2 linked regions of the Callithrix jacchus genome follow. The protein of the gene in region 2 interacts with the protein of the main gene of each other region in a pairwise test. Links are inferred from orthologs where the notes say so. Each region holds a gene or a part of one and is shown on either strand. Other genes may lie near its edges.

Evidence for each region.
Region 1: the proteins of PUM2 (region 2) and DAZL interact in a two-hybrid assay, tested with the Homo sapiens proteins (2 studies listed by BioGRID and IntAct). The link is inferred for Callithrix jacchus from reciprocal best matches to the Homo sapiens genes PUM2 and DAZL.

The regions. Positions count from the first base shown.
Region 1 is NC_133518.1:55,391,368-55,395,116, forward strand, and holds the start of DAZL (deleted in azoospermia-like), read right to left. Parts: upstream 2,683-3,749; 5' UTR 2,478-2,682; coding exon 2,475-2,477; intron 1-2,474. UniProt on the Homo sapiens protein: RNA-binding protein, which is essential for gametogenesis in both males and females. Plays a central role during spermatogenesis.
Region 2 is NC_133515.1:94,857,387-94,861,061, reverse strand, and holds the start of PUM2 (pumilio homolog 2), read right to left. Parts: upstream 2,847-3,675; 5' UTR 2,774-2,846; intron 2,720-2,773; exon of another isoform or gene 2,466-2,719; intron 2,242-2,465; exon of another isoform or gene 2,145-2,241; intron 1-2,144. UniProt on the Homo sapiens protein: Sequence-specific RNA-binding protein that acts as a post-transcriptional repressor by binding the 3'-UTR of mRNA targets.

The DNA of each region.
Region 1 (3,749 bases), on a different chromosome or scaffold from region 2:
CGATGATCAACTTTATGATTTTAAAAAGTGCACAATATACTGAAATATTTTCCAGCTATTAGGTTAACAATTTTTAAAATCCTAATACCTTTTATTGGAAAATGTGTGGAAAAGAGTGGGAACATATGCCAACAGTGGGAAAATACTGATAGACGCTTTACCCAAGAGTAGGTTGGAAAAGGTGTTATCAAAACTGGATAGGCGGGGATACTCACCACCATACTAACAAGGAGCATAATTTAAAATTGTTATAAAAGGGGCAAAGAGCTTTCACCCAGCAATTCCACTTACAGCAATTCATCTCAAGGAATAGTACAAGTGTGCCAAGATACATACTAGGATATTCACAGCATTTTTTTTTAGACTGAGTCTCTAGGCTGGACTGCGTGCAGTGGCACCATCTCAGCTCACGGCAACCTTTGCTTACCAAGTTCAAGTGATTCTCCTGCCTCAGCCTCCTGAGTAGCTGGGATTACAGGTGCACGCCACCACAGCCGGCTTTTTTGTTTTAGTAGAGGCAGAATTTCACCATGTTAGCCAGGCTGGTCTCAAACTCCTGACTTCAAGAGATCCGCTGGCCTCAGCCTCCCATGACTTTGGTGTGAGCCACCGCACCCAGGCCACAATAGCATTGTTTTAATACTGAAAAACTATTCATCATAAGGGAATTCGGTAAAATAAAGGTATAGTTTTTAGCATGATAAATTGAAAGTTAAAGTTACCTTCAGAATAATGCCGACATTAATTGAAAGATGCAAGCTGTAAAACAGTATTATGCAGCAACTTTTGTAAAAAGTGGCCCATCTATATGCTATTCCTGCATAAAAATCATCTGGGGCCGGGCGCGGTGGCTCAAGCCTGTAATCCCAGCACTTTGGGAGGCCGAGGCGGGTGGATCACGAGGTCAACAGATCGAGACTATCCTGGTCAACATGGTGAAACCCCGTCTCTACTAAAAATTACAAAAAAATTAGCTGGGCACGGTGGCGCGCGCCTGTAATCCCAGCTACTCACGAGGCTGAGGTAGGAGAATTGCCTGAACCCAGGGGGTGGAGGTTGCGGTGAGCCGAGATCGCGCCATTGCACTCCAGCCTGAGTAACAAGAGCGAAACTCCATCTCAAAAAAAATAATAATAATAATAATCTGGAAGGGCATACCTGTATCAAAATTTAACTGTGTTTTTAAGTGTTGGGATTAAGATGGATTGCTATTTTCTTACAGTGATTGTTTTCAAATGAGTAAACATGCTTTTATAATCAGAAACCCCGAGGAAACTATTAGCATTTCTTCCCTTACCTCCTACAAAAAAAGTATTGTAAATTGTTACTTATAACTCAAGGTGATGTATTAGTATAACTACATGTTGCACAATTATTACATAAGTTGTTTTTATTACTATATTTTTATTTTAATGTTTATACATGCTAATATAAACTGTGTATAAATTTCCTTTTATCTCTAAAAATGAGACAGAATTATCAATGCAGACAAACACACAGCATATAATACACGCGTTGGTGACTCAGTGGTTGGTCAGTGTATTCAGAGCTGCATCTCGTGGTGGCACTGAAACAACGCAGGGCATTTACGAAATTCATAGAACCGTATACCTAACACCATCCCAAATGGACATTTTGTCAAAGATTCCTGGTTTATGCAGAGAGGAAAAAAACTGTGCCCCGAGTACAAAAATTCTAAAATTCTCAATGGCAACTGAGGGCCACCTCGTGCCACAAAGATGGCGTCAGGCGAGTTGTGCCTGTCACTGCTGGACGAGGGAGCCATCATCAGCCAGTCCCCAGCAGGTGGAAGGCGCGAGGGGACCAGAGGCACTTCCAGCCCAGCTCCACTCAGCTAGCGGCTGCGCTTTAAGGACTCCCCATACCCCACGCTGAGGCCCCCACAAACCCCGCCCACACCACCCCATACAAAGACCGGGAGGGAACCACTTCCTGAGGAAGCTCCCGCCTTCTGAGTCCAAGGAGGCAAGTCGCTCAGCAGGCCTGCCGCCATCTTCAAAAAGCCACGCGGAGACCACCGGAAGTAAGGCTGGCAGGATGGAGCCCGCCACGGGGTGGGGGCAGGGGAGGGGCAGGGGGTGGGGGAGGGGTAGGGACGTGTGGGGGTGGGGAACCCGCACCCTAAACTTCGGCAGGCAAGGCGGGAAATAGGTACCACACTAAAGCCGGGGCCCTTGCACATGGCCTGAGAAGCAGCGGGCGGCGTCCTCAGGACCCACACCACCACGCCACTCTCGGCGTCCCGCCACCTCAGCGCCTCACTCTGTGTAGGCCGCACGGCCGCCATGCCGCCTCACCCCACCCTGCAGGCCACCACTCGTGGTGCGTCCAGACGGCGGGGCCCCTAAACAAAAAAGCCGGGGTGACTTCGCTTTCCACCTCCGCAAAGCCGGGTTTCACCCACAGCTGAAAACCCCGCCGACCTTGCCCCTCAGTCCTCCCCCTCAACTCACCATGATGGCGGCAGACAGTAGTTTCCGACTAGCTCGAGGACTGGAGGCTGTGCTTCACGCACCGCTTCTGGGGTTGCTGTGAGGTCCGCTAGAACCCGCTGCGCGGCTTCGAGTGGTCAAAGGAACCAAAGGCAGGTGAGAAAGCTGAGGAGCCCCGAAAGACGGTCCGTCAGGCTGAGGAGCGCAGGCGGACTGAGGCGTGGTTTGTGGGGAGCGGGGAGGTGGCTCCTGCGCCGGGTATCGGGGCGCGTGGTATCCGCCTCAGCCAATGGGTGGCAGCGCCCCCGCCTCCCTGCGGGGGGGGGGCCTGCGGGGGGGTGACGGCGCCCACGGTGCGTGTACGTAGGGTACGCAGGGCGTGTGTGGGTGTGCGCGTAGGGCCAGTGTCTTGGTCCCAGGTTGGCGCCGCCCTCACATGAACAAACAGACACACAGACACACACATCACCTCCAAAATGCCCTTAAAAACCGTTGAAATAAGCATGCCTACTGAAATATATGGTACAGTTTTAAAAAATAATAATCTAATGTGTCTAGGCTGTAGTTTCAAAATGGTTTCTCGAAGGCACAGGGTCAGTCCAATCACTGTTAGCTTCACACCCATCTCAAAATCTTTTTAAATGCCTGTAGAAATAAATAGAAGGAAGTCTGTGGAAAACGGAAGATTCACAGGCCAGAAACTTGGACTCCCTTCTGTCAAGTTTGAGATAGAAGGGGTTGGATAGGAGGAAATGCCAGTTTGACATTCAGGATGTTCGTTCTTTCAGGAAACAGTTACCAATTGCCTGTGATTACCAGGTACTGCAGATGCAGGAGTGAACAGAGTAAAAGAATATCTCTTCGCTCAGGGATCCTACATCTTTATGGGAGAATTCCCCTTCCAGGCCTTACAGGGAGAAGCTAGGCCTTCCTGGAGAATTCTAGAACATTCTCATGGTCAGAGCAAGAGCCCAGAGCAGGAGTGACCTGTGGGGCAGGTGATGGAGCCAATCACATAACTTTGGGAACCACTCCTTCCTACAGGGCTAAGTGGCTATGACCCTTATCCGCAAACTTAACTTGTGTACTGACAGCCGTAAAATGTTACTTTTTGAGCTGGCAAAATAATGGACTTCCATAACTAACAGCTAGTAATGCGGGATAAAAAAAAATAACATTTTATTTTCAATATGCAGCTAATACGATAAGAAAAGAAGGGGAATTCTAAATACCAAAAATAAACTGAAAACCAGAGCAATGACTTGTCCAACTGATTCTTCTCCTGCCCAGGATATA
Region 2 (3,675 bases):
GGTATTTAAGTTAGGACATATGCGGAACTTGAGTTCAGGAGACAGGAACCAACCTCCACTTAAAATTATGCAAATCGTGTGAGAATCTATAAAAAGGAGACAGCTTGGTCACTGAGAAAACTGGCTGTGAATTTCACACCTGGCCCAAACCTCTGGTCATAATTACATTTACCTAAGATAAGCAAATTATCTTTCAACACCAGAAATGTTTACAAACAAGCCGGTTACTGGTTCTGCAATCTGGGCAGAGGTGGGAGGATGGCTTGTGCTCAGGAGTTCGGCCTAGGCAACATAAGAGACCAGCCTAGGCAACATAGTGAGGCTCTGTCTCCACAAAAGACGCAAAAATTAGCTGGGCGTGGTGGTGTGCACCTTCAGTCCCAGCGACAGTTACTCAGGAGGCTTAGATGGAAGAACAGTTGGAGCCCGGGACACAGAGGCTAAAGTGAGCAGGGATCTCAGCACCTGCACTCCAGCCTGGGCATGCCAGACCCTGTCTCAAAAAAAAAAAAAAAAAATTATAAACAAGTATGGAATGCTGAAGAGAAACAAAATCCAAGTATTATTTGGTAATTTGTATACAGTATTTGTAACGCCTGAGAATTTAGCCTAAAGTGACAGCTTAATTTATGTTCTTTTTAGAAATTGAAATCTTGCTAAATACTGAAACACCTAAGAAAACTTTGGACTCAAGACAAATGAAGTTAAGGAAAGCATGTGTTAAACACAGCTTAAACTGTTGGAAGATGCATAAATTTGTTAATGGCAACTGTAACTCCTAACAGCTAGACTTGTAAACAGATTTAAAAAGCTGGAGTTAGGTCGGCGCGGTGGCTCAAGCCTGTAATCCCAGCACTTTGGGAGGCCGAGGCTGGTGGATCATGAGGTCAAGAGATTGAGACCATCCTGGTCAACATGGTGAAACCCCATCTCTACTAAAAATACAAAAACTTAGTTGGGCATGGTGGTGCGTGCCTGTAATCCCAGCTACTCGGGAGGCTGAGGCAGGAGAATTGCCTGAACCCAGGAGGTGGAGGTTGCGGTGAGCCGAGATCACACCACTGCACTCCAGCCTGGGTAACGAGCAAAACTCCGTCTCAAAAAAAAAAAAAAAAAAAAATAAAAGCTGGAGTTAAATCCTCAAGAAACAGGTTTCTGAAATGTAATTTTATTTTTAAGATTATCGTAAACCTTTTCTGCATACAAACTGTCCACATGGACACCAAGAAAATTTTACACAATGCAATTTCACCAAAAATCAGAATTTTAAAGAAATTCTTGCAGCACAGAAAATGCCATCATTTATTCATAACTGAACAAATGAAGTAAATAATTTTTTAAAAGACTAAGAATAGAAACAAATTGAAAATACTCATTTTTGTATTTTTTTACAGGATTCCTTAAAGTCATCTTCCAATACTCCACGTCACATGAAGAGTCACCTACTAAACACCAAACCTAATCATTAAACAAGCTTTTAAAATCCTTCCATAACTCCCTTTATTAAAATTGTTTTCTTGACATACAGTACCTTTACAGGTATTACATTTCTTCTCAGTATTTACAAGCATTTTTCTCATGTTTTCCTTCAACAGTTTCACCAAACATCTGCCCCCCAGTTTTCTCAAGTAAAAATCAAGTACCAAATCCTGACATGACGCCTTATTGCACCTAATATGTTGGCAATACATTCCCCTCTCCAAAAGTTTACATGTTAGAATGAAAAGCTAAGTAGGTTTTCTTTAGCTGTGTTCTCAAATAACACTAACTTTTACACGTGTTTGGGCATAAAACTTTAAATGTTTTCCCCAAAAATGTGACCCAACTCAGATACAAAACTACTGCTCAAACGGCAGAAGCCGCTGATCTTGTCTTTGGTTTTAATTTACATATTTTTCTGAGTATCGAAATCTGTTCCTAGAACAAAACATAACCTAAACAAGGCGAACGCCAGTCACGGCTTCCTACCCGCGTCTGTCCACGGCAAGCTTTTCCTGGACACACTCGGGCCTTTGAAAATGCCCACACTTGTTTTCATAAACCCACTCCTTCCTCTTCACCCACTTGCAATCCGCATGCTTCCCTGGGGCCACCCGGCCTCTCCCCCACTTTCCGAACCCAAGGGCGACAGCTCGGTCTCTAACCTCCAGCGCGCCGAATCGGAGGGAGACCCGGGTCCGCGCCCCATGCCCCCGAGGCGGCGGTGGCTGCGGCGATCCGGAGGGAAGGAAGCGGGAAAGCGGCCGGCGCGGCGCCCCCTCCCCCGCGTGCGCACACCCCCTTCCGGCGCCCCTCCCCCTGCATTGTGCGAGCCGGCCCCAGGCCGCACAGGCCGGGGAACCCCGCAGGCCCCGTCCGCCCTCCCACCCGCGATCGGCTACCGCTAAGGCCGCCCCACAAAGCCCAGGGAGCCAGCCTCGGCGGCGCCAAAGGACCGGAGAAAGAGCAAGCGCGGAATGACTTACGGGGCTGCTGCGGCCGCGCTGCCTCAGCCGGGGACACCGACCGTTGGGCACACGGCGGCGTCGCTCTTGGCGGTCCTCCCCCTCCTCCGCCTTCGGTGGCGGCAATGTCTTCTTTCTCCACCTACCACCCTCCCCCCCCACCCCACCTCCTCCTTCTCCTCCCCCTCCTCCTCCGAACCACCGAAGTACCGAGGGTGAGACACAGAGACTCACAACAACATGGCTGCCACCGCCGCCTCCCCTCCCCTCCCCCCGCCCACCGGGCGCGCGCAATGCACCCCGGGAGAAAGGGGAGGGGGAGCGCTCACCGAGGCGCGGCTCCTTTCAATGCCTAGCATCCCTGCTCCCGCGCTCCCGCCGCGCGGGCCCGGGGCGCTCTGCGCGTGCGCACGCTCTCTGCGATCTCACGTGTTCGGCCGCGTCTCCGGCGTTCCCTCCCCCGCCCTCACCTTGTGGGCTCGCGCTTCTATTCCGGACTGTGTCGCCGCGGGACTCGGACAGCGCAGGCGTGCTGTTGCCAAACGCTGTGTTAGCTGTCTTCCCGCGTGGGGCCTCGACTTCTGAATCCTTTCACCCTCGGCTTCCTCCCCAGTTGCTCATTGTTTTAGCCCAACTGCGTGTGCGGGTGTCGGCGCCCGCGCCGCCCACCTTGGGGTACTCCTGGCATTTCGCTTCCGGAGTGCTGGCGCCAACCAGAGCTGGACGTTAATTCAGGTCTTAAGCTTTCACCCTGTGCCTCCCCACGATGGAGATGCGTCTGGGCGTGGAAAATTGTACCCCACAAGAGGGTTGTCACTCTCGTGGTTGCACCCCAGGCTAGTGGAGCCAGCTCTCAGCAAATTGTCGGCTCCCAGTGCTTGGCCCGGGTGCACACAAAGGAAACTCAGGTCGGTCTCCAGCTGGGCCAGTGATTCTCACTCGTTGGCTGTCTTTCCTTCTCGCGGACCTAACGCTCTCTCCTCCCGGGTTTACAGGCTAGTTGGATACCAAATCTGCCTTGCTGTCGTGGCCCCGGTGCAAAGCCGCGGTGATTCCAGGATTGTAACCTAACTTGCTCCAGGTCACACAGCTGTAACAGGCACTGTGTCCGATTTGTTCTTGATGGTTTGCACAGCTCCTGGCTCTCCTGATAACGCTGCACTTCGTAAACATTCAGGGCCTTCTAATTACTTGGCTTAATGTATGTCTTCCCTAGGCGACTGTGAGCTCT